Styela clava: one gene and its partner. Each later gene encodes a partner of the first gene's protein in a complex. Links are inferred from orthologs where the notes say so. Each region holds a gene or a part of one and is shown in the gene's direction. Other genes may lie near its edges.

The links.
Region 2: FACT complex subunit SPT16-like (region 1) and FACT complex subunit SSRP1-like share a complex: the UniProt entries of both Drosophila melanogaster proteins name them as parts of the FACT complex. The link is inferred for Styela clava from reciprocal best matches to the Drosophila melanogaster genes dre4 and Ssrp.

Annotation. Positions count from the first base shown.
Region 1 is NC_135262.1:5,709,921-5,726,221, reverse strand, and holds the start of FACT complex subunit SPT16-like, read left to right. Parts: upstream 1-8,446; 5' UTR 8,447-8,503; coding exon 8,504-8,569; intron 8,570-8,799; coding exon 8,800-8,898; intron 8,899-9,023; coding exon 9,024-9,107; intron 9,108-9,211; coding exon 9,212-9,355; intron 9,356-9,900; coding exon 9,901-9,993; intron 9,994-10,367; coding exon 10,368-10,514; intron 10,515-10,949; coding exon 10,950-11,101; intron 11,102-11,447; coding exon 11,448-11,620; intron 11,621-12,190; coding exon 12,191-12,355; intron 12,356-12,671; coding exon 12,672-12,850; intron 12,851-13,453; coding exon 13,454-13,546; intron 13,547-14,535; coding exon 14,536-14,651; intron 14,652-15,092; coding exon 15,093-15,249; intron 15,250-15,331; coding exon 15,332-15,396; intron 15,397-16,073; coding exon 16,074-16,136; intron 16,137-16,301. Other genes in the region: ATP synthase F(1) complex subunit delta, mitochondrial-like, read left to right, coding at 7,632-8,147. UniProt on the Drosophila melanogaster protein: Component of the FACT complex, a general chromatin factor that acts to reorganize nucleosomes. The FACT complex is involved in multiple processes that require DNA as a template such as mRNA elongation, DNA replication and DNA repair.
Region 2 is NC_135254.1:10,877,187-10,893,114, reverse strand, and holds the start of FACT complex subunit SSRP1-like, read left to right. Parts: upstream 1-8,162; 5' UTR 8,163-8,370; coding exon 8,371-8,427; intron 8,428-10,000; coding exon 10,001-10,186; intron 10,187-10,561; coding exon 10,562-10,667; intron 10,668-11,057; coding exon 11,058-11,248; intron 11,249-11,354; coding exon 11,355-11,449; intron 11,450-11,825; coding exon 11,826-11,961; intron 11,962-12,150; coding exon 12,151-12,254; intron 12,255-12,913; coding exon 12,914-13,042; intron 13,043-13,427; coding exon 13,428-13,652; intron 13,653-14,256; coding exon 14,257-14,329; intron 14,330-14,747; coding exon 14,748-14,927; intron 14,928-15,928. Other genes in the region: uncharacterized protein LOC144422860, read right to left, coding at 3,645-4,361. UniProt on the Drosophila melanogaster protein: Component of the FACT complex, a general chromatin factor that acts to reorganize nucleosomes. The FACT complex is involved in multiple processes that require DNA as a template such as mRNA elongation, DNA replication and DNA repair.

The DNA of each region.
Region 1 (16,301 bases):
GTCGCTTCTGTGTGACATGACTATTCGTTGTATATCTTTATATTTTTAGATTATCTGAATATACTTCGATCAAAATCTTGTCTACCCAAAATATTATTGTGCGGAAAGATGATGCACGTAGCATTTGTTTGAAACCCTAACGTTTCACGAATATTCTTTCCGCGCGTCAATCTAACCGCAATATTTATAGGTATCTATTGTATCATACCCTGATACTATTGAGAAAATCGAATGAGCATCGATCCTGTTTTGAATTTGCTCAATTATTAACGCATGTCGTGAGCGTTATATTTGTAACGGTATCGTTGCAAACCCACCAGGTAATTTAGCGGTTTTCGGTCATTGAGGTTCACAACATATATATCACTCAAACTGGCATCATTAGACACAAAGTACGAAGTATATATGATATATATATGGGTCATTTGTTAAATTCATTTTGTTGCTGTTGGGGTTTACCTTGTTGTTGTTTTCGTTTGTCTTTCTCTGCAACCTATGGATAGAACGATTTCAACATCTAACGGTCTTACACAGGGGTGGGCAAGGTTTTTGAACCAGGGGCCCAAAATTTTGCCCACTTAGACTGGCGGTCCATGTAAGTGTGACGTAAAAAGAAGATACATTTTATGAACAATTTTTACAGTGTTACAAAAGCAAAGGTGGAAAATAATAAGCCTCTTGCTAAAACTAAATTTAATCGCAATCTCAACAGATTCCTTGAGCTATATTTTAGTCGAAACATCGAAATTTTATTTTACTTTGGTTTCGGCAGAATCGGGCGGGCCAGATTGAATTATCTAACGTGCTGAATTTGGCCCGCGGGCCGTAGTTTGTCCATACCCAAAATCAAACCAAAAATTTTGCATTTTTAGTTCAAATCAAATTGGAAAACTTTTTATCGGTAATACCCGACCCTTCTGCATTGATCTTTGCGAACTAGCTCCCAGACCTCATCGTAGTACTATTGTACAAGTACCGATGCGTGATCTTCGTGTCCGTACTTTGATCTCTCGATAGGTAGAAGATGCTAATAGTCATTTTTCTTGCATTAAATTAACTGTTGTATTCAACCATCAGGTATGTATACAACCTGCTGCCACGAATTATCATTTCCATTCTTGCGCGCTTCCGACGCGCCATCCATTTCTTTTCCGACTCGGCGAATGGCATCTTGGCTTTTCCACGGAGGTGGGTATAAGAAAAACCTTCCATTTAATTCAACAGAAAGCTTAACGAGACTAATATATACTAATTGTCGTGTTGTTTTTCATGGTCGTTCTGTGCAGATTTTATAACTTTTGCAGCGTTTGCTATTTTGTTGAATGAACGTTCTCCATGTGATTCATGCACACGGTTATGCATACGCTTTTATGTTTTCGTGGTCAAAATGTTTTGCGTGGTCGCGAGATGGGTTCGAAATCCAGTGAGCGATTTAATATCGTGTTTCCCCGAAATAAGACTTAGCCTGAATTTTAAAAATGATTTTGATATACGCCCACCTTCTCAAATAAGACCTAGTCGATATCGCGAATATTTTTTTGACCTAGTCGATAACAAGATTTCTCTTCTATACTCGTTTCAGATGATCGGTCATTTTTTTGAATAATCTGTGTGTAGCATTTTTTTCAATCAAAAATATATATGTTATTTATAGAAAAAGCTTTTCATCTTTCGTATATTTGATAGTTACTCTGTCTTATTTTCGGGAAACACGGTACCATTCTTGGTCCCAAAATGCAGAATGGGTCTATTCAGTAGTGGGATTCAGCCGGTTCGCACCGGTTCTATAGAACCATCTCACGGAATTTTATGAGATCAGCGAACCGGTTAGCATTAAATGACTTTTTGTAACAGAACCGCCTGAAAATATAACATTTGTATGGTGGAACCGGTTGACAAAAAATTTGAATCCCACCACTGGGTCTATTACATCGAGAATTCTATGTACCTATCACACAGGTATACCCATGATTCGAGACTACTCACGCCACTTTAAAGACAGCCTATGTGGTTTTGGATATTTAGCTGACGACAGTTTTTTATATATTTTGGAACAATGTATATATATATAAACATAAAACATGCATTTTTAATAACGTAAGAAGTAAATTTAAAACAAAAATAAAATAGAAAACAATACACGACTACCAAAATAAAGTAGATCATAAATAATACCCATAAAAAGTCATTTGACTTCTATACACAATCCGTTAGGTCTTGTTTCAGGTAATACATATGAAGCATAAGTAATAATCGGGAACTGTAAGAAAAAACATTTTGCTTTCCGGCATATTGCAACAAACTAGGCCTATGGACGACGGCACCTAACGCAAAATACCACACAAAAAAAAACTTTCACTTTCAGAAAATCAGAAATTTTGTTGTTCAGTCAGATTGATATTTCACGTATATATTTGTTAATAATAAGCGTCATCGTTGTGCAGGTGGCTTGGCAATTAACCCATTTGACACATATTGTTAAGAAATAATCAGAATTAAAAGGTCAAGCGACACGCTAGGGTTATGAATTGTTGTTAGAACGGAATGCCTTCGAGGGATCATGGTAAACAAACACGGTGGTATTCATATTCTAAATTTGTCGATAGCATTGTCACTTTGGTCGATTTGAAGACCTTTTTATTGCTACCCACAGAATACTGCCTCTTATTAATAGAATTTTACCGGGACCTGGCAATTCCCTTCCATGTGTGCGCCTGGAACATGGAAACATTACCGATCTCCAGTCAGAAAAAGAAAGATTCAAAAATAAAGCATTCACAAAAACTGAAGTTTGACGGCCAATAAAGCTATACATAATAGGTATACTGGAATTACATGCCATTGCAACCGTATCTGTTACAAGACAACCTGTTGTTAGCAAGATCAGTTTTGGAAGGCAGCGAATCACGGAATTCCGATCTCCTGGTTTTTGTCTCGTGTTTGCATGATGGCGCAGCAAAGGCCATATAAAAAGACCTAATAATGTAATTGGTACATAGATTGGAACGAAAAATTCACTAATAGTGAGGGCGATACTTGGTATATTTCTTAATCCTACAATCGCACAAACTCCTTTGTATCTGGCAAATATAGTTGCCCAACAAAAGATAGAAATATTGCATATTGGCAAAATCAATGCCGTAATTAAAGCTGCTTTGCTAAAATTGGACGTCGCTTTTGACGCTAAATATTTTAAAACCGGCTTACCGTATATAACACGCTGCCTCAACCATAACACAATATAGATTAACGAAATACTAATCCAATAAAGCATATTTTCAACTCTCCCCAAAATATTACAGTCAATATTTTCCATGCTTTCGAGTATGAAAGAAAAACTACTATAAAAGAAATATATTGATAAAAAGTATGCAACATAGAGACGCGAAATTGTAAGTAGTTTTCCATAAATATTTTTCCCACGGTGGGATTTTCTTTTGACCATTTTGGGGTTGTTTTGAAAAAACTTTAACAGCATCAGTAAATTATATATGCAGCAAATTGTATATATAAATGACGGTATTCTCAACATTGTCATATTGGGCTTTTCAAAATTATACATTGCTTGTAGTATTTTTTGCTCCTCCCTGGATACATTTGAATATGATATGGACTTCACCACCGGGTCCTCTGGAAAATAATATTTAATTGTTGTTGTATATGTTGAGTTAGCTTTTGACACATTGTGGTTGAATGCCTTTCCAGATTGTGAATTAGATTTCACCCTCCAGTCAATAAAATATTCCATTTTACTTTCTTGACTTTCATTCCAAGACATGTGTATCCGCTGCACAATAATTTCCAAAATTTACATGTATACGTATATTAGCTATATGTATCTATATTATTAATACTGTAAACAAATTGCAAAATACTATTTAGGGACAAATCAAGTCAGGCAGAACCAATATAACACATACTGCATTTCTGAAAAATCTTTCCTGCATTAATAACGGGACTGAGTCTTACTATTCACTCTAAGTAACTAATACAAGTCAGCATTCAAAAATTTATAGGAAATTTAATAATTGCATTAATTACGTCCCTTCCGCTAGATGGGCATCATAAGTGAATTTTCGTGTCTTTGAATTTCAAATTTTACAACGTTTTTAATTTTATTACCTTAATTTTTGTTGCGGTCAATGCCAATGCTTCGATCTTGCCTAAAAAATCTTAAAAATTATGGGTATTAGAACCACCTAAGGCTACTTTGTCAGTCTAAGCACTGAATAATTTATAATAAAATATTATTTGCGTATGTTATTTATGATATAGCCTAGAAAAAAATAAACAATTCAAATATTCTTTCATCGATCCTTCATCCCCTTCTAACAGCGAATATTTCCATCGTGCCATAAATCCCGAATTTACATCCATTATTGTTTTGGTCAAAGACAACTTATTTATTGAAATATGTACGTAACTATTGCGACGAAGCAATGTCTTTCCATTCGCAAACCCTCTTGGACAGAAGCTATCGGCGTCTAAGTTATTTACCAGAAGCATGTCGGGTGTTTAAAAATGTAAAATTAGGTTTTTTGTCAACGGATTATCTCTAATGCCCAGGGCGTTGCAAAATACGGCGGTGAAATCCAATTTATACAAAAAGAATGGATTATGGGGATAGGTGATTGTGCAAATTTTGATTTAAAAAAACAATTTTACATCGACATTCTGATGAATATATATATAAAATAACTCCGCTTGGGTACAAGAACATGATAACACACACACTAAAAACTGTTTTGCGCCAACTGGTATTCCATTGCGTTGGTCGTTTGGGACGATAGACGAAATTGTGAACAAAACAAAAAATACGTAGTATTATCGGCTAATATTCATTGCCAATAATATTATTTCCCTCCGTTGTATTTGGTCGAGTTGTGTAGACCTACGTGTTGCCATTCTAATAACATGCTCTAATCCATATTAAAGCAAATCAATATACGTAACCTACGTATACAGATGTAGTTTGGTAATTATTTACGACAAGTTCTAGTTATTAGATTCCCCGCTTCTCGTAGTTCGTTCGAGAATTAGGAACTTGAAGTCAAAAATAAGACTAACTTCGAAAACGTTAAACCGTAGAATTTGGTTCACGTAGATGTCAAATAGTTGTACTGGGGTTTGGAACAAATTTTTCATTTTATTCTTTGGTCGCCTGTGTCTAAACAGACACACGCTCTTGGTATGATACCATGTAGCCTAGTTGTGTGTTATATATTCAACTTGATTAAATCAATAGAACTCTTATCTAAACTGTTGAACCGAGGATTACCGTACTTTCGGAAAGTCAAAAAAGTAACGTATCTAGCCCATCTGAGGTCTTCTTTTCAAAAAGATGTATAACCTGCACTCCAACACACACCTTATATGAAGAAACTGCACAACGGAAGTCTATACTTGACGTTTGTTGGACATAACCGGTATGATAAACAAACACGAGAGTCACTTTCACTATATGATCAAGCAGTTTTAGTGATTTTTCTTTCGGTGGATAGCACTAAACCCGTCCCAAATAATACATTGTTTAAATGAAACTGTTGGGTGACGCTAGAGCCCGAAAATTACAGTCATTACTGGTATGTATTTGTAAATCTGTTTGTTCTCTGTTTTTTGTTTTTTTTTGCATTAACGATTCAAAAATTTGACTCACGGTCATCGAAGAACAAAGTAATTTGTCATAAATTCAATCCATATTTCGCTATGAAATCGCGCCCATTCGCATTTTCAACTAAGCGATTTGCTTTCGAATAAGAAGGGCTCACAGAGGTCAAAGAAGATCTGAATGGTGGCGCTGTCGACCAACTGGTGTTGGCGGTGCTTTTTGCCAAATTGTGCCGTGATTTCGTTCATGTATTTAGGATTGATAAAAAATGTAATAAACTCGAAATTGTATTAAAAAATAATTTTGGTAAGACCAAGGCTAGAGGGAAATCAGAATATGGGTGAGATTTTTCTTTTGTCTCGGTTGACACTTACATCTGTACACAGCCTACTGCTGTACTGAAATGAAACAATGGCGGCATGGCATTGTCAAATTAGGAGGTCTGGAAGTTATCAGGGCGGGAATTCTGAAATGATTGTACTGTTGTATAACTTAAAAAAAAATTTTTTTCTAGAATTTGCATCTTGAAAAAATTGTTGAGAGATTTTCCATGCGGAAAAAATGAGACACATTTGAATACCTTAAATCTTGCCAGTTGAGCAAGTGAAACTAAGTTTCAGTTTAAAAATCAATTTCTTTTTGCATTGCAATTTTTGGTTATAAGTATAAATGTATTTAAACTCAGTAATCGACATAGAAGACTTTAGAATACTGAAATAATTGATGAAAATTAAGAAATCTGCAAGCAAACGATTTTTGGCCATATTTTTATGAAACGACCTTTTAAAAAAGATGCATTCTTTTGCATCTTCTTTTCTTTTCGTATTTTCAAATATTTTGACTACAAAATACCTCCATCATAATACACAAGGTTACCCCCCGCAAAAAACCATTTGCACAAAAATCCTTTCCTACAAAACCACATTCTCACAAAATTCTATTCCCCAAAATTTCATCCACGAAGAAGCTCTCCACATATTCTGTATTTATCCAGTTTGGCACTGCGGCACATTTTGCTCGCAATACAGCGATATGTCATCTCCAGTCTTTATAATTGCCATCGATACTCTCAACACCATGTCTGTATGTGGTTTCAACTGGTGGTCTATGTCGGACATCTTTTACCGCTATTTTTGTTTTCATTCGTTTTGCGTTTTTACTCCCTTTTGGTTATATTTGCTTTCTTTATACTTTTGGCATTAGCACTAATGATTTTTTTTTTTCAAAAGTTTTGAGACAAAAATTTACACAGATCATCGCCATATTTATAGTCATTTTTTATTTATGCTGGAGACATTTAAAATAAATAAATAATTAAAATAAGATCAAGTCCTTACAAACACCTCACTCCATAGCCTTTGTATACCTCGTGCAGCTGCTCTAAAATTCAAACCTGCTGTCTATGTCCAACAGCCATTCATGGATGAGGCCATAAAATGCTATAAGTTTAGAGCTTTTCTACCCATCATGTCTATACATCTGGAATAATACAAAAACAGCCAACTAACCCAATAATTATGTGATACATAAAGTCTTAGATATTTGTTAAATTTGAACATGATATTTTTATCATTTTCATAACATTTGAAACGAGAATATCGGTCTTTCTGACCTAAGACTTATCGATCGAAAGTTAGGGGATCCCCCAAAACAGCGCTCTTATTCCATAGTGACACCTTGTGTCCCATCACTGATTAATTAATAACTCTCTAATTATACGGCATAATTCGCCCGAAATCAATAGGCTTCTGGTCCGAGATATGATGAATGCACATGCAAAATCTGGAGCAGATTCAATCTCGCTTTCGTGAGATATGGCGTGCATCTAACATACAGACAAATACCTATCGACATACTTACCGATTAAAATCAATAAGTAATGATGCATCTAATTATCGGGTATAATATAATTTTCGATAATATAATTTATCATTAAAGTTAAATGGGAGTGTAGATAATGCTTCTAAAATCTTGCTTTAGATTTATTAGTATAGTTTCGTCAAGCTATAAAAAATAAGGAACTATGGCGTCTCTTGCTGCCCGTGTTTTTTGCCGCACTGGACTTGTAGCTCGACGTTTGGTGGCTCAGAGCACAAGAACTTACGCAGATGCTGCACCGGCTGTTGCACAATCAGAGGATATGGTTTTTACGTTTGCATCTCCAGTAGAGGCCTTCTACAATGAAAGCACTGATGTGAAACAAGCTGATGTACCCACCGGGGCTGGGGTCATTGGTATTCTAGCAAAGCACGTTCCTATTTTCGGAGTACTTAAACCCGGTGTTCTAACCGTATTCGAAAAAGATGGAAAATCAAATAAGTTTTTCGTCAGTAGCGGATCTTTTACGGTGAACGAAGATTCTACGGTTCAAATAGCCGCAGAAGAGGCCGTAGCTTTGGATCAACTAGATGTCAATGCCGCAAAAACAAATTTAACAAAAGCTCAAGCGGAATTATCGTCAGCAACAACGGATATTGAAAAGGCTGAAGCGCAGGTGGCAATAGACTGCAACGAAGCCATCATCAGTGCCGCGTCATAGAGACTTATTCTGTTGAAATTCAAAATTTTATGGCTTGATTTATGTTATATTAATCCATTGGTGTATCTGTTTGGACTATCTTTATGACAATGAAATTCCATTTCAATATCCTTTTGTGTTTATTTATTCTGTTCTGACTTATGTCTAACCATACATAGACTAGGTAAAATTGGAAATTTCAATTCGAAAATTGCAACTGAATAATTTAATTATCTAATTATAGTATTTAAGAATGACTATCTGAATTGCTTAGAATTATTTTTTCTGAAAATATCTTATTCCAATATAACATGAATCACAAGTGTTTCTGTTTCTAGCATAGAACCAACTAATGCTAATAATCTAAATTCATCATCATGTCTGTTTCCTTGGATATAGAAGCTTTTTATCGTCGTCTCAAGAAAATATATACTGCTTGGAAGGTAGGGATTATGCTTAAAATTTCATTTAGAAAAATTCAAACGTTTTTGATCGCATGCATCCATTTTGTTATTGTTTATGAATGATTTGTATCGGTATATACTCAAAAACGCATTTTGTGTTTCCCAATTGAAATTTTATAAATTGGATTTGATCGGTATGTTATATTTCATAATATTTACCGTACATATATTTTCAAAATGCTAACAAGCTGAAGACTTTTTGAATATAGGATGCTAGTGGAGATGACGGATTCTCTAAATCAGATGCTGTTGTCGTGGCGATGGGAAGTGATGAAGATGTTGTTTACTCAAAATCTACAGCTATCCAGGTCATATCTCAATTTTGATTTTCAAAATCTTAATAGCTGAATCACTAGCAAATTGTTGTTGCTTAAATCAGACTGCCATTACTGCAGGCATAGCTTTATTAAGATATTTTATATGCTTTTTTTAGACATGGTTGTTTGGATACGAGCTAACTGATGTGATCTTGGCTTTCTGTGAGAATAGCATATCGTTCATGGCAAGTAAAAAGAAAGTAAGAGTTTTTTGTTTGTTTTATATTCATTATATTTAGAAATGCTTATGTTGAAATATTTTTGATTTTTTGTCTTTTGTTTGAGAAACATTCTTTTTGTTCAGATTGAGTTTTTGAAACCAGCGGCAAATACAAAGAACAATGAAAATGCGAATGGAATTCCTGAAATCAACTTAATTCAGAGGGAGAAAGATAACAACACTGAAAACTTCCAAAAAATCATTCAGTTCTTAAAGTCGAGCAAAAATGTAGGTTCATAGTCACAGTCAAGTATATTTTTTCCAACCAGTAATATAATATACAGATACAAATGCAAAAAATATGCAAAAAAGTAAAGACCATAATTTTACTGGGGAATGGAAGCCGCGGCGAACCAAAGTCGGTTATCGAGCAGCGGTACCCAATGTTCTGCTATCTAATTAAGATTTAGAAGATCAATATATTATGTTTTGGCGAGAAGTTCTTGTTAGATTTTTATTCCATGTTTAAAATCATTATTTCTTGAAAGCTTTTCTCTATTGTTATTTATTCCAGACATTGAAACATCCATATAGTATGACAAATTAATAAATGTAACAAACCAGTAACTAGCAATAAACGATTAAATAGTGTATGAAATTAATAAAATATTCAGACCATACAACATAGAAGAACATAAAATAATGAAATAAACTCACCTAGATCTGTCTATTAGACCTACCTTATTTGTGCTATTTTATGGTTAATAACTTTATATGCTTTCACGGGTTCTTGAAATGAAGCTTATACTCAAACTAATTTTTCTTCATTACAGGGTAAAACAATAGGAGTTTTTGCAAAAGATAAATTCTCGTCCAAATTTATTGATGCATGGAATGAAGTGTTGAAAAAGTCTAACTTGAATAAGGTATGTCACAGGAATGCTCCTTTTTTGTTATTTTACTCTAATTTTCTACAGTATTTTTTTCTTCAAATATAATTCAGATATAGGCTATTACTTTTATTAATTCTCTGGCATTTTATTTTTAAAAATTTACAAGTTTTGTACTGAGAAATCAATTATATGGCTGAGCTACTATTTTTATATGTATACTGTTTATATACTTGTTTCTTGAAGATATTTTATTCATTTCTATCTGTATTTCTTCATGTTTTATATATATACAGGGTGAGGCAAAAAAAAAAACTGTAAAACAGTTTACCAATGTGGAATCATAACTTGATAAAAGTCTGTCTCTGTCTGTGAGTCTCATCAATATTACTTCACCTTCATAATTTTAGATTGATGTATCAGCAAATGTGGCATCAATAATGGCAGTCAAAGAAGAATCGGAATTGAATCTACTGAGAAAAGCATCAGGAATAACCTTGGAAGTTTATAGCAAAGTTTTCAAAGAATATATGAAAGATGTTATAGATGCTGATAGGGTTCGTACCGTGTTCAAGTTGATTTATTCACGAAAAACTCTGCATACATAATGTTCCAAGAGAATTAATCTTTGCTATGTTAAGGTTTTTCTATGTTCTGTCCAGATGATTATTGATGTTTAAGAAGGACTTCTTTGGAATTAAGATATGGTGTTGGTACAGTGAAACCATGATAACAAATTGGCGAGATCTCATTTCACGCATATGGAATGAGATTGTATTCACCTGTCGCTATAAACTCCTGACTTTATCTTATTCAAGCATCCTTGTAACACGAGTCAAATAACAGATCCTGCAGAACATAAAACGTAAAACGAAGGATGGGCAGTTTATCGCACAACCCCCTGCGCATTTCAAAACATGATATTTGTCTCTACACTCTAGCCATCTCTTTAAGAATCAACCAAGATGACTATACTTATGCTAATTTTCCAGAGAGTTAAGCATTTCAAAGTAGCGGAATACGTTGAAAAATCTCTTGAGGACAAACAGTATCTACGTGGAGCAGATCCAACTTATGTGGAGTCTTGTTATCCCCCCATCGTACAGAGTGGCAGCAACTGCAACCTAAAGTTCAGTGTTACTAGGTAAGTTGGCCAGTTGTTCGTTTTCGAAAGCATGGGCTTGATGGTGGAGGAAGCCGTATCTGACCAGCGGTTACGTGAACCACCCTATGTCGGCGAGAAGTCAAGCAATCCTCTCGCACATAACTATCCCCGCATGAGATTCGAACCTGCGCACTCACACAGGGTAACAAAAGGTGAGGTGGCGAGCGTATTCCTATTGCTTAGCACGATGCAACACACCGCCGAGCCAAACAAAGATCAATTAGATATCAGTGGTTGTACAGTGCCTTGTTTGGAGCAAAAAGCATTATCATCTGTTTTATGAAATATGTATGTGTAATCTGTATCATCCTGATATTTTACTCAGTGACAAGAATACCCTTCAGTTTGGTGTGATCATCTGTATGCTCGGAGTCCGATATCGTTCCTATTGTTCCAATGTTGTTCGGACATTGATGGTCAATCCGACAGAAAAAATGCAAGAAATTTATACTTTTCTACTCAATATGGAAGAAGTTATTTTTGAAAAATTGCAGCATGGTGAGTTGGAGCTGAAATCTGGGTATTCACGTAGTATGTGTACCAGGTTAGGCCATAATTTCATTCCGATTTTCCTTATTCTAGTTCCATTACGAGGTTGGGATTTGGTGTAATTCTTGATTCGGTTTTGATACCACTATTTTTTTGTTTCTTTTTGAAATTTTTTTTTATTAATAAACCAACTGTTAAAAATTTGAGGTTAGGTACTCTGAAAAACAAGGTAATTTATCTAATATGGTTTTAATTGATAAAATTCTCAAATATTGAGGTACTGTTCAAGTACTGATATAATTTATATATAGTTATATTGGTACTCCCGTAGTATGTGAACCAAGATGGCGGACACCAGAACCAGTATGTGTACCAGGTTAGGCCATAATTTCAGGTACAAATACTACGAGAGTCACTTGGCCAGTCCCCGAACTCGTAATAGAACTAAAATGAGGAAAATTGGAATAAAATTATGGCCTAACCATAACCTGGTACACATACTATGTTCAGGTGCCCGCCATCTTGATTCACATTGGCCTACTAGATGAGCGCCCATATCTTTGTTTTTTATTTACTCAGGTACTCCTTTGTGTGATGTTTATAATGAGGTGATAAAACGTACAAAATCTGAGAAACCAGAACTTGTGAATTCTTTCACCAGAAGTTTTGGATTTTGTTGCGGAATTGAATTCAGAGAAAGTACTTATGTGATCAATGGGAAAAATCAAATCAAGGCTAGGAAAGGTAAATTTTAATTCCTTTTAGTAAAGCAGGCTAATATTCGAGTAGCCCTACATTAAACATCGATTATTACTGGTAGCATCGAAACTTGGAGCACTTCAAGTCATTTGGTCCGGAAAATAGCAATTATTTTGATTGTAGAATTGTCCATTCATAAAGGATTTTGTTTGATATTTAGATTTAATATTCATTCTCATACAATTTTCTATCATTTTTTTTTTACCGAATTTAGTTAGTCTGAAACAAGCAATCTATTTTAAAGATTTGTTGAGGTGTCAATTAATTACCCAGTTATTATTCAAAATATCCTCTTTCACAGGAATGGTCTTCAATATAAACATTGGAATTTCGAATTTGGTGAATGACGAAGCGAAAGAAGATTCTGAAAAAAAATATGCTCTCTTCATCGGAGATACCGTTGTTGTCAATGATGGTGCTCCTGCTACTAATTTAACGAAAGATAAAAAGAGAGCGAAAAATATCTCGATTTTTTTGAAAGTGAGTCAAAAATTCCTGTCAAAATATAAATGACTGTATGATCACTGCAGTCACAGTGGTTTCCAACCCATTTTCGATATATAGCCTATGAAATGCTTGATTCTTGCTCAGTATGCATGGTGGTATTAGCAATTTGCACTCAAGCCTTTGAATATTTTTTATTGTGTGCCTAAATATGTATTACGATGGCACTAAATTACTTATATTTAGTGATACTACACCAAATACAAATTAAAATTTATTTTTTTCTCAAACAGTAAAATTACTCTCTGGGGAGGAATTCTTCCTTTGTTGGGAAATGTTGGATGACTGACTGGTCGTTTTCATTATTCCTAAATTGATATGCTTTTCATAGCAATAATAAAATTCACCCAATAAGTATCACATACAAAACGTCTTGCATATCCAGCTTTCGCCTAACGATAAAATTGAAAATATTTTGGCTGGAATCGATGTTATTCTATTATCAATTGTTGAGATCTTCTGAATAGTTGATATTTGTTAAGGATATTTACACTTTATTTTTGTTGTATTACTTGTTATTTTTTTTCAACTCCTTACAATATCTATGTTCCCCTATCCTTCAAACGTTTCCTGTTTTAGGATGAAAGCGAGGAAGAAAGCGAAGAAGAACAACAACCTGCTGAGTTATTGGGGAGAGGAGCAAGGAACGCAGTTCTGAAGGAGAAAACAAGGGTAATTGTACACTTATTGAAAAAAAAGTATGGGGTTGCGACTTTTTGGAAACTAGAACTAGAAATCCCCATACTTTTGACTAGTCTGCGAAAAACCTGACATTCAATGCTCGCATTTAGTCAATCAGCTAAGTCACACGATTTGTAGGGACATTATTGTAATACTTCACCATACGAATAGTAGGTTAAAATGCTAAGCTACGGCAAGTTTAGCATCTTAAAGTCTGATCGAATGATGCAATAGGTGTTAGTATTATCATAATTTTTGGTCTAAGAACTGTACTAACTGACTACTGTATTTTTATTAAACGGATAATTGGGATTTTGGTAATTCGATTTAGGGGAAACGATATTAAAAAGTGTAGGAACCACTAGCCTGGGGCATCCGTTGGCATCTCAGACAGGTAATGTCAAGCCAGAAAAGTTTCGGTCTTTCCACCTAGGAATGACTGCATGAACAGATCCATGTTTGAAGTGACAGGCATTTTTTATACTAATTTTTTTGGAATGAAGGTATTGTTCAAGCAACCATGAGCTAATTACACAGTTAGGTCATCTAAATCAGAGTTTCCCAAACTTTTTGGCTGCGGACTCCTTTTTTTGTTAATCTTATTTTTGACGGACTCCCAATTCTCAACCTGTACAATACTTTGTCATCATATTGGTGAAAGCTGAAAATGCTGCCTCACACATGTCTGCATGTAGGTTGTCGCAAAAGGCAATGAAGTTTTAATTGCCATTTCTGACAGCAATTGATTCACAATTCGTCCGCAGCGCTCAATCAAAATGACACATTGAAATCAATCATTTAATATCGACCAGATTCATTTCATATCGTCACGACCCCTGGTGCAGTCATCACTGTGGACCCCAGTTTGGAAGACCCAGATTTAAGTTCTTCTCGTCTCGGATAAACATCTAATAATCACACTCGATCGGCAATTATTGTTAAATTTTCATCTAAACATAACGCGACATAACTTTTTCCAGCAAGAACAAACTCTGGAAGAGAAACGTCGATCTCATCAGAAAGAATTATCGAATCAGTTGAATAACGAAGCAAAGAAGAGAATGATGGATAACAAGGAAGACGTACAATCCTCACGGTATATGTTAAATTGACTCTGCTTCTGATTTCATAACTTCGAATCCACGAAAAAAACTGGTGTGGGTGTTTGAAAGTCGTTTTTTGTCTGACTTTTGTCTTAAAATTCCGACTTCAGGAGCAAATGATAATTCCATAAAAGTGGATCTCTCATTTGCTTTGTGTAACTCGCTATTCATTGCAACTAATGTAAGTTGTAACGATTGTTACAACAAACTTCCAACACTTATTGGAGAAAGGAGAGTTTGTTAGAAGGCTATTACTTTTCTTTTCTTCAATTTTCTATGAAAAACTATTTTTCACCTAAAATTTTATGATTTTATTTTATTGGAACATTTTGAGTATTACCTCTGACATTAGCATCCATTTATATGAGCATTACTATCCTGTATTTTGTCTTTTTCTTCCATTTATGTTATATTTTAAACTTTTTTGTTTTCAGGTCTAAAAAATCCAATGTCTCTTACAAGTCTTCTTCCTTGTTGCCTTTCAAAGAACCAGACATTCATGATCTGAAAATCTTCATCGATAAAAAATATGAGACCGTAGTACTGCCTATTTTTGGTCTCCCTACGCCATATCACATTTCTACTGTAAAGGTATGAGTAACTAGTGCTTTGTCTTAGATTTTTTTCACAATAGTTAGAATCTTTTTTCTCAAAATCTTTTATTTTTTGGCAGAATATCAGTATGAGCACAGAAGGTGATTATTCATACCTGAGAATCAACTTTTTCTGCCCAGGAAGGTTAGTTTTTTTAATTTTTTTTTCCAATATTAATTTGTAGTGATTGCATTGGAAATAATTCTAATTGTGTCTTTTGTGTGTAAATCTTTATCACAGAATCATCGTAGGTGGGGTGTGTGCCCCAGTGTTAGGGGGGGCTCTATTTCTGACATAGGCAAACTACGTCCTGCGGACCAAATCTGGCCTGATGCTGCCACAATCAAACTTGATCCAGATTTTGATGTTTTACCCAAAATATAGCAGCTCAATAAATTGGTTGAGATTGCGATTTAATCTAGTTCTCGCACGAGGCCTATTGTTTTTGTAACATTGCAAATATTGTTCATAAAATGTATCTTTTACGCCACACTTACATGGCCTGCCAGTCTAGTTAGGCAAAATTTTTGGCCCCTGGTCCAGAAACCTTGCCCTCCCCTGCTCTATTCATTGACTTAACGAAGGGTCGAAGATATCAAAAAATTAACTTGGACTTGCCATTTGCCATCAACTAACTGCCAGTGAGACTCAACTCAGTAATTCATTCGGACTTGACTCAAGATTTTAATGACCCGTGATTTGACTTGCATCTCAGTTTTAGGAACTTCTACCCAACATAGTGTGCCACATATTCTTGTCTTGCAACCTTTTGTACTGCACATGCTATAATTTAATCAAAAAAAAATTCTGTCGTTTTTCAGTGGGATTGGACGAGTCGACAACCAGGCTTATGCAAACAATGACTCAACATTTGTTAAAGAATTGTAAGATATTTTCTAAGGATTATTTATACACACATTCAAATCAACTCAGATTTGAAATGCATTTGAATCTGGGTTGAAAATTTTCTCTCCAGCATTGAATTCCCAGAGAAATCATATTTTCATAATAAAACTTTGATTGTTGGCGTTGCAATCCATTTTAATATA
Region 2 (15,928 bases), on another chromosome or scaffold:
TATTTTTTTATTTTACTCGTTGGCATTCATTTTTAATTTATCGTTTCATTTTCTCACTTTTGCAAGGTTAATTTTTCGAGCAAAAAGTGGTTTTTCATACTCTTCAGATGTGGAGATGCGGAAGCATTTGCAATATTTTATGCTTCTCTCTGTTACTTCAGTCTTATTAGTTCTCAATTGCTAAATAAGATTTGTGTGTTCTTTCATCTGGACTATGCAATTGTGATTATAAAATTTTAATTGCTGCCAATTCGTTTATGATTTTTCTTTAATTAAAATTTGATTCAAACGAAAAGTGTTTTTTCTTATCTCAAGTAAAAAAAGAGGATTGGAAATTTTGTCTTAACCTCGGAAATCGTAGCAGACATGTACTGAACTAAAAGTATGGAAGAAAAAAATCCCAACTGTCATTAATAACTGAGCGATCTCGATCGGTAAGTATGTTGATAGGTATTTGTCAGTCTGTTAAACGCACGTGGTATCTCACGAAAGCGAGGTTGAATCTGATCCAAATTTTGCATGTGCATTCATTATATCTCGGAACAGAGGCCTATTAGTTTTGGATGAATCGTGTCTTATAATTAGTTATTAATTATTTAGTGATGGGTCACATGATGTCGCGATTGGAAATTTTTTTTATTTTTTTGACAAATAAAATATTGAACATGTGGAAGATCGATAAGTCGGCGGCCTCCGATCGATATCTAGTTAATAAACTTGCTTGGAGCGGTAATACCCAACTTCTCTTCAGGCGACCCAAATCCGAAGAAAAAAATGTACATTTCGCATACTAAACGGCACGTAGTTCTTTTATAGCCGCAAAATTTGACGACTAATATAAAACAATTATCGTTATATGCAGTGATTTCCCTACACCCCCCTGGAATTTCAAACGCCGCCCTAATTTTCAGGTGAGACACCATACTTTAATTCTTGTGATGAATAGTTTTTTATAGTTTCGCAAATTTAAAGATTTTCCTAAAAAAAAAGCTACCCCGGATTATTTTCAGGCAGCCCAAATTTGGATAGCGACTCATAGGTACTGATGAGCTGGACAAATCGTAACAACCAGAACGCATTTAATTCGTTAAAATGTTTTATATTTACAACACGTTCATGCACGCTTTCTCCGAGTTGTGTTTTTTTTTTCAGAAAATGGCATCTTTTCTAGAAGTTCGTCGACACGTAACAATTAAAATTCATACAGCAGACCAGAAACTTTTTCACGATTGTGAACCTTGCCATATTTATGTAGTAAGGTTTAGATTATATTTCCAAAATATAAGTATAAATAAAGTAAATTGCTTGAATAGCCAGTGATTCCCAAAGTGGGCGATATCGCCCCCCAGTGGGCGAAAACGATACAGAGGGGGGCGAAAAAGTCTAAGGGGGCGATAGGGGGGCGATTTCGCGAAACCTGTTTTATGTTCGGCGCACTTAATTCTGTACTCTGTGTGCATTGGCAGGCTTGAATCATGTGGGCGATATTCCCACGCGAATGGATTTCTGGTCTCGTCTTCGCAGTAAGGTAAGGTAGTTTGCGTATCCCAGTGATCGGCAAAATACGGCCGGAGTAAAATAATCTGGCCCTGGACGATTCATTGAATGGACCTTTCCCCGACCTTTGACTGCGGAAAATTCTTCCCATACATACCATTTTAAAAGTTTCGGGGCTTATTTTAAGAGTGGTTTCGCGAGTTGTTGCCTTTAAAATGGGGTATTTGTTTCAAACTATCATTCTAATACACACCATTCAACAATCTGTTTTTTAAAAGTACCGATAAAGAATTTTAGCCTAGTCTATCACAGCTATTTCTACACTAATTTTTGATTGCTGTATTTAAACTGAAACTCATGGAAAGACAAAGTAATCATTGACTTATTTGATTTATATTTTAAGTTCCGAAAAACAACTAAAAACTAACGAATATAATCCAAAAATGCGAAAATGAGGTAATGTTCACGACCACGTCTGAAAATCTGTCTGAGTGAGAGTGTCTGAGCGCCTGAGCGGATGCGAAAGGGGGCATTGTTCCCTTTTTTTGCATCTTGCTGATTGGCCAATGTCACGAAGTAAACAAGGAAGTCTATGCCCGGGTAAATATCCAAACGGCGGTTTTGACGATGAAAATTTTTTATTTATAATCTACGCTCGAGGAGTAAATTACATTTTTTTAAGTAACAGAATTTATCGTGAGACACGTTCAGACTAAATTATACTATATCCTAACAATCTAGTGAACAGCCACTCGTTTAACGAGCCTACAATGTAATTATAATTAGACAAATGGAAACACGCAGAAAAGTTGATGCTGAGTGCAGGGGTTCAATAGCGCAGTAAATATTCGAATATATTGCGAAGCAATAAGAAAATAAAATTCATATTCTAATCGAGAGATTCATCACTGCTTAATTTTTGTAAGAATGTATCTTCTTAGAGAGAAAATATTTATCAAAATTTCACAAATCATGCGAAAATATTCACTTCAATGTTCGGAAGTACATATTTGTGCAAATCATTATTTTCGAAAATGAACATTACAAAGAACAAGCAAAGACGGGGGTTTGGTGATGCCCATTTAGAAAATGTTTCAATCTTGGCGTCGTAAAGCTATCCAGCGTGATGCAGCAACGAGACAGTGTCACATTAAATATCATTGTAATGTTTTTTTAATAAGACGACTGAGTTGAGTTCACGAATTGTCGCAGTTTTTGCGTGCTGTTCCGTTTTTAACTTTCAAAAAATATATGCGACCCGCAAAAGACTAGCAACCCTGAATTTTGTCCTGCGAGCGACATAAAATTTGCCGACCCCTGGGCGTAGCCGATAGTCAGTCACGGCTTCTTCCACATTCGAGTCAATGAATCCAAAAACAAATGTACGAAAATCATTATTATAAGTTTGGGAAAATTAACTTTGTTTTTATTATTTTAATGTGAAATGGGGTGAATTTAGGAAGTGAAATGCTATAAGGCAAGAGTACGCGGCGGTTTTTGAGGAGGTAGAACCCTGGATTCTTTCATTTTCGATCTATTATATGATGAAAAAGGGGTTTTCAGCCGTGCTACTATTGCTATTAAAACAACGAAATCACCTTTCCATCAGTAAACGGGGTAATTTTAGATATAATAAATAACTCGCTGAAGAACACCAAGCTCATCTATTTCATTAAAAAACATCACAAACTATTATTTGTCTTCTTATTTGGTCTGTAATATATTCGTTTCTGACTTTATATTTTTTTGTAGTGCAGGGGGGCGATGAAGTTGCATAAACTACTTTAGTCAGACCTGAACTCTTTAGCCATTTATGCGTTTGTTGTTCATTTACATCCAGTGCACATGCTCTAGTGGGATATTTTCCATGCAAAGGGTTTATCATGCCAAATTTTTAGTCTCTGCTTTTAAATTTCTTTCTTATACTTGAGCTTGACATCTTTTGCCATCTTGTTTGCACCTTTTTTCTCAGTTAAGAAATTAGTAACACCAGTTTTCTTCATAAATTCATCAGTTTTGTTGAAGATTGAAACGCCTATTTTTATTTTTATCGAAATCTCGCACGATGCGCATTAGTGGATCTTCTGTATCGGTCAAATATATTTTCAGTCCTACAGTAGATGGTTTGTAACTTTCCTCAATTTGAATCAGACCTCGTCCACCCTTCGTGATAAGTACAAACGTTCAGTGTCTGCTCGAGGATGATGTATTTTATTTATCGTCATTAGTTTTCTCGTTTTGGTATCAAATTGTTTGATTTCTTGCTTAGTCCACTTGATGATATTGAAACTGTACGAAACTACTGGTATTGCAAAACTGTTAATTGCCTTGAAGATGTTTACAGAGTTAAGTTCACTATTCAAAACCGATCGAAGTCTTCTCAAATATTCCTTTTTGATAATTTTTTCATGTCTGATTCCATCAGCTTCATGTACTCCAAGGCAACGATATGTTGAATCGCTACCGAGTTCTTTTATCGAGGTTTCTTGATCTAATTGTAAATTTGATTCTCTAAATAATTTACCTTTGCGAAAAGATGCTTTTGCGCATTTCTCGAGGCCGAATGTCATTTTGATGTCATCACTGAATGATTTCAAAGTTTTCAATAACATTTCAAGTTGGTTATCATTTTTAGAATACAGCTTCAAATCATCCATATAAAATAAATGAGATATTTTTTGTTTCAAAATTTCGTAGCCACAACCGGTTTCTTTCAGCAAAGTGCTAAGCGGGGCCAAGGCAAGGCAGAACGCAAGAGGTGAAAACGAGTCTCCTTGAAAAATTCCGCATGAAATCGAAATGGTGTCACTTTGTATCTTTCCGTCATTGTGCCTCAGGATCAAATTTGTTTGCCAATTTTTCATTGTAATTTTGAAAAAAGAGATTAGGAATTAGGATAGGTGACAACTTGTAAATTTCGAATACCTTTAAAAGCCAAGAATGCGGTACACTGTCAAACGCTTTTCTGTAATCAATCCATGCGGTACTCATGTGTTTTTGATAAGTTCTGCAATTTTCCAAAATCATTTTATTTACTAGTAGTTGGTCTTTGCATCCATCCTTTGCGCCTTGAGTTGTATTTTCTGCTTTAGATTCTCTCTGATTACCGCAATATTACTGTGTAACCCATCTAATTTGTACCGATTTGTTATTTTCTTCATTGTTCGTTTATTAAGAATACTACCGTTTTGTATTTCTGATAAGATAGACAAATCTGCTCTCATTTGTTTAATTTGGCTCTCAATTCTTACTTTCCATTTTGCCTTGTAATTGTGCCTTGGTCCAGTGGGTTTCCTAATTATTGCTCCAACTTTTTCAGTAACCATAGTTGAACATGCATAAATAATGTTTGATATTTCAGTAACATCCAGATCAAATTCCAAATCTTGCTTCAAAAGGGCAATAGCTTCGTTGCCTTCTGCTAGCCAGATTTTAGTTTCTTTCGTCAATTGTAATTTTGGCAATTTGAGTCTGTTTTTAAAATCTTGTTGAGGTGAGTTTATGCATGGCAGTTGTAATATTTCTTGTACATTGTCACATAGGCCATTTTCGTCATGTACATTGTCATTTTGACTCATATCCCTTGATCCCAAGTATTTCTGTTTGATGGATTTCAGTTCTATATCTGTCAGTCGGTTATTTCAAATTATATCCCGTCGGACATTTGCAAGTCCATTTGCTTTCATATTTTGGACATTCAAAGAGTGGGGTCCTTCAAGCCAATTTGTAAGTGTTTGTTTAGTAATACATTTTGGGGAAGAGCTCACAGCTCTGTAGTACGCTTCCATCACTTGTATATACTCTTCACGTTTCCAACGATGTTTTTTAATTTTTTCTTTTCTTTCCGATATTTCACGTATGGGGCTCGGTTGAGGAATATCCTCTGTTGAGGGACCACTTATATCGTGATGTGAGAGTGTGTCAGTAGAAATACTGACAATGTTTTTTTGGGACCTTTTTATAGAGGGCGTCGCCCCAGCCTCTATGTAGTTTTTTTATGTCGAGTTATCATTTTAAATTTTACCTTTTTGGTCCGGGGCTGCTTATTGAATATTCACAGCTGACCTAGTTTTACCTAGGTGTTTCCCCTATCCGCCACCTTGGGGACCCAGCCAGTAGAGATGAGGTCGAACCCCCCTGGGTTATTATTATTATTAATTTAATTGTGATCATTTTAATCTGCGGTTGTGTTGACGAAATAAAAGCAATACTACTCAGAAAATTTCATGACAATCCGTGGACACAAAAATGCGTGGTAAAGTGCCCCATTATATTTTGCTTTGATTCGCATTTTTGTGGATTCGACAAATCTGAGCTGTTCTAAAACACTTACGGCGCTCCTGTACTGCACGTACCAATGTCGAGGCAGTAAAGCAAAGAATCCTAAGGGAAAATGCCCTGGTAGGTATACTACGGTAGCAGTGAAGCAACCAAGTTTTGCGATTTGCAAGCGTTTTTAATCGGTAGCGGATAATCATAAAACAAAAGTTATGGTGTTTTTCGTTTTATTTTTAGTATTACTTTTTTTTCAATTAAGGAAATTTGGGTTGCAACCCTCGACACCAGAAAAAAATTTATTCCTCGTTGTTCGAACTCGCTAGAAATATCACTTAGGACTTAGGTCATCTATCGGCGCGTGTTTTCGTCGGAAATCCGCAAGTGAGTTGTGAAATCCACTCGTTTGATTAAATTAAGCTACCCGCAAGTGACCTATCGCGTCACCTGTTACCAAATTTATGAATACTGTAGTTGAATTGCTATTCTAATACTTGAATATTCGAATATATGCCCAGCGCTACTCTGTAACCAGTGATTATTGACTCCATTAATGTTATGTGAATAAACTTGCTTGGTATGTTTTATGTAAATTTTAACGTAAATCGTAACTTGGCTGATAGTTAAGTTTTGCAAAATCGCTTGCGACCCGCAGTGAATTTCTGGCTCGTTACGGACTCATTCAAACGCTTCGCGGACTCATTTGAGACCGCGGGCTCGGGTTGGGAAACACTGATATATACACACACACAATATTATTTCTTCAGTGTACATAGCTTTAACGTAGTAGTATATATTTACGTTTTAACAGTCGGGGTGAAGTCGCTGTGATTTTTTACTTGAAACACAAAAACAATATCTTTAATAACAAGAGAGCTACGCACAAATATATGGACACGTTAGACCAGAGCGAATCAGTCTTTACCGGTACCTTTGACGCTACCGGTACCCTCAAAAAAGTTCTGAATTTTCAGTAGCAAGAATTTTGCAGAATCAAAACGTACAGCCAGTCATGACACTGACTAAAATCCGTGTTCCCATGGATAAAAAATAATACAGCAAAATTTTAGACGAAATATCAAATTTCATAGAATTCACCCAAAATATTGAAATAAATAAAAGTAATAGCCTTCTAGCGAAGAAATTAATCTTTAACCACTGAAAATTTCAAAGCAATTGGTCCTGTATTCGAAGAGAAAAGCGATTTTTTAAAAACGTGTCAAAGAACAACAACAACACAAGAGAGCTACGCACAAATATATGGACACGTTAGACCAGAGCGAATCAGTCCTTACCGGTACCTTTGACGCTACCGGTACCCTCAAAAAAGTTCTGAATTTCCAGTAGCAAGAATTTTGCAGAATCAAAACGTACAGCCAGTCATGACACTGACTAAAATCCGTGTTCCCATGGATAAAAAATAATACAGCAAAATTTTAGACGAAATATCAAATTTCATAGAATTCACGCAAAATTTTGAAATAAATAAAAGTAATAGCCTTCTAGCAAAAAAATTAATCTTTAACCACTGAAAATTTCAAAGCAATTGGTCCAGTATTTGAAGAGAAAAGCGACTTTTTAAAAACGTGTCAAAGAACAAGAACAACATAATATTGAAACGATCGTTATGTCCACTACGTGTCCAATAATATTGAAACGATCGTTATTGCCACTAAACGTGTCCAATAATAACTCTTACTTATACAGTTATACAGTATACTTAAGACTCTAACTATAACGGCTCAGCACCATACGATGGCGATGTGCTCGTTAGAGTGATTGGAATAAATAGCTCGTACAGGCACTTTATTTTTGATGACGCGGTTCTGTCTGAGTTCCTTTCAAAGTTCAAAATGATTGTCCAAAGATGTTTATTGTTGAGTCAAAAGTTGGTGAAATAGTAGTCAGATAATGGTGCAATAGTTGTCAAACAGAAATCCGGTAAAATACAGTGCTATTACACAGGAGGGACCAATAATAACTATACGAAACAGGAAGTAGAATTATATGATGTAAATTTAAACTACGCCTAATTAATAATACTAACCCCCCCCCCCCCGATTGATTAAGATACAAATTTATACGTCCTACCTCCAAGCGGCTCACGCCGAAAGAGATCCCGCCAACATCAATGGTCAGGGTTCGATGCCCTAAGTTACCGTTGCCAGTTTAGTTACAATAATAGCGGTCACTGTTTATAATCATGGCCGCTACACTAACTATACCGAACAAAACCTTGGTAACATATTACAGTAATGCGGGTCTTCTTTAATTATTTGTTGGAAACGACTTTTCAGGTTTCTGTAGAAAGTCTTGATTGTAGATACTTTTTCGTGAACTCTACAGATTCCGCTGGAGGACGCACCACTGTTCGCGGGATTTTCCCTCTATTCACTCCATGTACTGAAGGCTTCTGATCCAAAGTGACTATAAAGTGTTATACTATAACTTATAGTCACTTTGTTCTGATCTAACCAAGGTTGGCTTGAGGCTTTGTGATAGAGTTAGTCTTTACAACAAGTACCGGTACTTCTAGTTTTGCCTCATTGGTGAAGATCTAACTTTGGATTACTTCTGCTGTACACAAGTAAAGCTGCCATGTCGGCCAGCGTTTTGGATTACAGTGATATTTATCAAGAAATTCGAGGCGCGTTGGTGAGTCAATCATGGGTTGTCATTGTTAATCATTTTGCCTTTACTGCGCATAGCCATAGCTTCACTGACTGTCTTGTAAGGGAGGAATAGGTACTCACTCTTATAATTGATGTCTTTTAATGTGGGGGTTTATTCTTCAGTTCTTCGAATCGAAAACTTAGGTACCGGTATCTGATCTAGACTATCGGATACATGAGAAATTTATTCTGTGATATAGGGTGGTGTAGCCAGTCTGCGGACGATTTCATTCAAACCGCTATAAAACAAAAACCAATATTTCTAACCCGTTAATTTTTTCACCGTAGGTGCATTGGCATTTATTCTACACGCTGAACTTCGAATTAACTTTCTCAACCAGGGGTTAAAGCTATACAAACCACCAAAGTTCGACACTCTGAAGACGTATTTGCGACCGAACGACCAGTGTGCGACCACGGATTTCAAGCCTTGAACATCGTTTCTGCTGCGTCGAGACTAGGGCATACGCAGCCATGCGTGAAAAAAAGGGCTTCTAATTGCATTTCTGACCGCCATATATTTTAAGAACACGATTATTTCAAACAAAATTCTTCAAATTATAAACAAAGCACCGCATCACAGCAATCAAACAGACAAAAACACGGTGGTCGCAAATTAGTTGACAAAGATATTATTGACGTATTGGAAATGCGCACCCCCCTACTCCCCCTCCTTTGAAGATAGAAACGCGAAACTTTAAAGATGGGTAAAAGAAACACAACTCTACCCACCTGCCAAGTTTCATCTCTTTATCTCTTATATTTGTATGGATTTTCAAGCTTTTTTGAAGGAACAATGGGTAGTTGGCGACATGGTAAAATGGTCCGTTTTTTTTCTTCGGTCAGGTTTTCGGGCATAACTTTTTTATTTGTGGCCGCATTTTAGTGTAATTTCGTAGAGCTACGAGGGATAAGTGGACGATAACGCGTGAGAAATATCGGCGCGTTTCGTTAATTTTTTCGGCATTAATTTAATCGATGAAGTTGATGGTCGCAGATAGGTCATGGCCGCAAAGTGGGTAAGCCACCCAATCACAATAAAAAGTTTTTGTTTGGTGTCAAATGTGAAACAGTGCTGCAGTAGGCTATGCCATACAATTATGTGCGAGAGGATTTCTGGACTCCTTGCCATTATAGGGTGGTAACTGTGGCAAGCTGGTCAATTACCGTACCTACGGCTTCCTCCAACACCAAATTCATCCATCTCAAACAAATAATTGGCTAACTAATCTCATACTCGTCATGGACTCGTACGGTAACTAAACGAGATACTGTGGTTCACCCTATGATTGAGCCATCGTATCGGCTTTCTTCTCCTCCGGGATGATTATGCAAAATCTTATTATAACTGTGCCGTACTGACTTTTATTTCAGGGACAGCATTGCCTACCTAATTTAGTAACACCTCTGGTGAGGTGAGATCATGGGATTTGAACCAGCGATCTGTAACTTGTGATGTTTTCATATTTTTTTCCCAATGTTTTAAGCAGGACAATAACTTCATATGATATGGATATTTTATCGGTTTATAAATTTAAATGGTATTTATTTTTCAGCATGAAGGTAGACTCCGGCTTAACAATAATAATGTCGTTTTCAAAAATATAAAAACTGGAAAAGTTGAAACAATTCCACTATCCGACATAGAGAGTGTTGTGTGGAGAAGAGTTGCTCGGGGATATGAGTTGAAACTTGAGTTGACAGACGGACGTTCTTGCAAATACGATGGATTCAAAGAGGCGGTATATATCTTGCAAATATTTTATGCTGTATCATAGCTTAACTTATTTTCTGAGTACCGTAATTACATAGTGAAAAATTTGCATCCCCAATTAACCATTTTTTTTTTCTTTCCTGTAACGGATATGCTGGTATTTTCCAGTTATCATTTAAAATATGCAATTTTATTCCTGCTACAGCATTCTTGCGTTACACGCATACAGATCCACTGGCGCAAAGACATTGAGAAAGGATTGGGAGTTAGTCTCGCGCACCTCTACTGATAGTTGTATCATTTCAAACATTGTCAAAATTTATATGCTATTCCACCATGTTTGGGATATTATGATTGTTGTGTTGTGGTTATTAATACAATATCAATAACATACAAATTTCAGGAGTTTGAAAAGATCAATAAGCATGTGAAAAATAATTACAATGTTACAATTGAACAACAAGACATGTCTGCGAAAGGATGGAACTGGGGTGATACAACATTCAATGGTAGGCTACATTTTGTTTCAAATTTGTCATCATATGTGATTGAACTATCACTCTGAGTAAATCCATACACAAAAATGCACTTTCAAATTGGTTGTAATCGTAATATTTTCAAGAACTGGAATCTTAATTTTATCTTTAATATTTCATTGCACGCTAATTCAGGTAGCAGACATGAGATCTTTTAATAATATGATTGAAGTAATATTTTATGACTTAAATTATTTAAGAATATTCGGGCATTTGAATGGGTTGTTTTAAAGTATAACCTGTAATAATCGCTCACTTTTTGTCTACTGTTGTATAGAGACTTGAGAATGTCAATGATATTATGTTTAATTTCTGTTTTTTTAACGATATGAAAATTAAAAGAAGACTTATGACAATTTATAGGTTATGAACTACAGTTTGATGTTGACTCAAAAAGAGCTTTTGAAATTCCATTGCAAAATGTATCACAATGTACACCAGGAAAAAACGAAGTTTCATTAGAATTTCATCAGAATGATGATGCAGAATTATCCCTTATGGAAATGAGGTTTTTTGTTCCGCCATCACAAAACGATGAAACTGATACTGTGCAGGTTTTTTCTCCTATATTTTTTGTTTGTTCTGAGTTTCAGTACTTATCAGAAAACTAAAAATAATATACAAGACTTATTCCTTATAATTTCCGAATTTAATCCACAGGTTTTCAGTGATAATGTTATATCGAAAGCTGATGTACTGCAAGCGAAAGGAAATGCCATTTGTACATTTCAAGATTTACAATGTCTCACACCAAGGTTGGTTATGTATTTGAAGTGTTTTGTCTTTTAGCGTCTCATTTACTGTTGGCCATTGGTCGTAGCATTAGCCACGATATGTTGATTTATCATTAGTTTCAGCACCATTTTATGATAAAAATACTTTTCTGATTCCACTGTTTCTTAGCTGTAGGATATATAGAATGAAATTTCCAATTGAGTTGAGTTCCGTCATGCTGTTTTGGCACATTGTACTATGTGTGGGGCTCATGTGGGCATGATTATCTGTGAAGGGATTGCTTGGTTTTATGCCATTATAAGTAACTCACGTCACAGCTATATATGTTATTGAACATTCTTCTTAAAAAAATTAGATATGAAAAGATTCAAGTTTTTATTTGCCTTATTTTTACAGAGGTAGATATGACATTAGAATGTATCCAAAGTTTGTTCAACTTCACGGAAAGACGTTCGATTACAAAATCACATATACTTCCATACTACGACTCTTTTTACTTCCACACAGAGATCAGAGACAAATTTTCTTTGTGGTAATTTCGAAATTTTTAATACAAACGCAGTAACTAATTTTTTTCTTTGTTTATTGCATTATTCTGTTTTCTCTGTCATAGATCTGTTTATTTTAACCATTGGTGTATTCCATTTAATGTCTATTCAATTTTTTTTTGCTTTTTTTTATTTATAAATATTTTACTTTAAAGTTTTCAAACTTATTTCAGGTCAGTCTTGATCCTCCTGTCAGACAAGGACAAACCAGATATCATTTCCTTGTTCTTTTATTTTATAAAGAAGATGAAATGTCTGTAGAAATGACTTTGTCTGAGTAAGTACTTTTTTCATAGTTTTAATATTATTTAGAATGGTGCTCTTTTAGTAGAATGTTGAAGCAGAGTAAAATTTTGGTCAACAACAGTTTTATGGTGAAAACAGTTTTTGTATATTATTGACATCATTATTTTTGTCAATACTCACAGAGAGTTATTTGTAGTAACATTTTGTTACCTGTCAATGTTTGTTGACTATTAATTATTAGTAATATTTCTGAGATTAATAATTTTAAATATTAGGAAAGTGAAAACTATGTTAGATTCTATGACATATTAAATTTATTTTAAATGCCATTTTGAAAATAATGGGTTTGTGTTCACTCATTTTTACAATTTCCACTTGAAAATCATCTGAGTAAATAAATAACAAGATTTCGAGAATTGGTGTTAATGATATTTTAGGGCAATATAAATTTCTATAAATTTTCGAAATTGAAAATGTTGCACCATATATTTCAAAAATTATAATTATTGCTATAAGTTGATAATAGTATTTCAGCATATTGATATTAATACCCAATTATTTTGGTGATAGGGAATTGGTATCGGACTAACAGTTGGTATTTTAGTGGTATTTTTACACACATTTTTGGAAAATGCATAAAAATACTTGTTTGTTTGCTTACTGCTTGCCTTCAAATGTTGTTTAAAACAGGAGAGAAATTGAAGAAAAGTTTGGAGATCGATTGCAAAAAGATATGTCGGGGCCAATATATGAAGTTGTAAGTCGTGTTATGAAAAATCTAGTGCAACGAAAAATAACTGTTCCTGGTTCATTCAAGGGGTAAGATATTTAAGATTGAAAATATTGAATCCAGCTTGTCCAGTAGCATGTAAAACATATAAAAATAGGCCTAGTTAATGTACTAAACTAAATTCTGCAAAGTACCGGTATCTGATATTTGAGACTGTCTAAGGAATTCAGGTGTTTAAAAATGAACTTGATCAGAATTCAGTTATTCAGGCCTGAAATCTCCGCTTCTTGTACAGAATGACTGAATGATTTCTTTTATCATATTTGACAATAATGAAAGCAAAATAAATTGACATAAATTGAAACAATTTTGAGATGCCTTACAAAATTTCTTCGTATAACTTGGTCTTTATCAAAATTATGTCGTTAAACGTTTTACCATTTGTTTATAATGTTTTTTTAATATTTTTATCAGTCCAAACAGTGACCAATCCATCATGTGTACTTACAAAGCATCATCAGGATTTCTCTTCCCACTGGAGAGAGGTTTCATGTATGTCCATAAACCTCCGATTCATGTTCGATTTGATGAAATTGCTTTCGTGAATTTTGCTCGTGGATCAGCTACCAGCAGCAGATCCTTCGATTTTGAAATTGAAACAAGAAGTCAGACTGCTTATGTTTTCAGCAATATTGAAAAGTTAGTCAATGAATGTTATAATCTAACCTATATATTTGGTACTCCCGTAGTGTGTGTACTATGTTAGGGTTAGGCCATAATTTTTTTCTGATTTTCCTTATTTATGTCTGTGTCAGGCAATTGAATACCCCACCCCCCTGCTCATAGGTTTCAGTCTCTTTATACAACTTGATGTAAAGTAGGAGAACAAAATTAGTTACCTCCATATTGGTACACACACTGGAGCGCCTGTTATTGTAATGTTGATTTTATCCCCTCTCATTTTTCATATTTTTTACACTATTACCCTGAACAAGGCTACACTCCACATGTTTTATTTTTAGAAGTAACCAAATTTATGGGGTTTAAATCCTTTATATTTTTATACAGCAGTTTATTGCACAGTATTAGCTCACACTCTTACTTGACATTTCAAAAATTATTCTGTTCCCTTTTCAAATCATAACATCATAGGGTAGATATTATTTAGCATGTGGGTGTCTACCACAACTGTACTGACCATAAATTCTGTTCTATCTTACATTACATTAGTCAGATTCTCAACAATAGATTTACGATTTTGGCAAATTTAAAACTAATAACCTTTACATTGTTTTCTCGACAGAAATTGTTACCCTGCTCTTTTCGATTTTGTGAGTCAGAAAAAATTAAAGATCAAAAACATTGGAAAAGGAGTGGTGAGTTTTTCTGATACACCTATGGAATTGTTAATAAAATAGTATTGCTGTGTATTCCCATTGTATATGATCTTCTAGATAGGTGATGACCATGAGGTTTTAGCTTATGATCTTTAATAATCTGCAAACAGCAGCGTCAATAGAGATAAGCCCAATGCGCAGATTGCTAGATAATATTGCTATAATATAATATTGGACCGAATTTAAATTGCAAAAGGACTTTTGGTTTGACTTTTTTGGTTGATAAAATTCATATATTTTTTACTAAAACTAATTGAAAACCGTTAACCAAAACCTGAAAAGCATTAATTTTACCAAGTGTTTTTAACATTCTATTATACAAGGGTATGCGCTAATTTTTCATTATCGAAGTTTACTGTAATTTGAATTTGCGGTTGAGTTGACATTCTTCTTACAGGATGGAGGTGGAAATATCGATATTATGGCAAACAGTGATTCAGAAGATGAACAGCATGATGCTTATCTTGAGAGAATGAAGCAAGAAGCAGCAGATCGAGATGAAGATGATGGAGGAGGAGACAGTGATGAAGATTCAGAAGAAGATGAAGACTTCAATCCTGGTGCAGAACCAGATGAGGTAAAGTAATATGATTGAAAATAGATTCATCAAATTTGTTTGATATCTACAAATAGGTGATCAAAGGATTCAATGCCAATTCTATTCGACAGGGGTTAGTCAACCTCTCTTCTCCCATTTACCCCTTGTCACAAATTTGAAGAGTTAAATTCAGCATTTTTTACTCATTACTAAAATACAGATAGTTTTTTCTGCAGTGTGTTCATATTTTGGTGCTTCAGAAGTGTGTGTATCAATATGGAGGTAACTAATTTTGTTCGCCTACTTCACATCAAGTTGTATAAAGGGACTGAAACCTATGGGCAGGGGGATATTCACTTGACTAACACAGACAGTCTCAGAACTCTAGAACTAAAATAAGGAAAACCGGAATAAAATCATGGCCTAACCCTAACCTGGTACACACACTACGGGAGTACCCATATTTGTTATGCAACAGAAGACGCTGCATTCTGCTATATGGTGGACAGTCACATTTGATTTTATGATAGGTGCTTTTGAAATTGGATATTACAAACATTTTATTGCTATAAGAATGACGGCACATTTCATAATATTTTGCAGTAGGCTACACATTAAGATAAACATTTTTATTGCATATCTTTTACTAAAATGATATCTTGGTCGTTTTTGCAATATATGAAAGCTAATGTGGCTACTTCACAAGGTGTTTCTTGCCTCTGATTGTTGTTGTTTTTTATTTATAAAAATACATTTTTTTGTCACCTTGGACACCTTAATACTAAAAATTATCACTTTTATAAAATTTAAAAAAATGCAAGAGTTGAAAATATAAAATAAGATTCATTAAAATTCAAAGACTTTTTATCATTTTCCTAATCCTTTGAAATTGTTGTTATCTTCGGACAGTCAGGAAAATCATTCGACAACTCAGCTACAACTGCACATGCACTATGGATTTATTTATATATGCCACAAGACCCATTTTCACGGTACTCATATTTAGGATGATGATAATTGTTCTGTCATCTTTATTCTAG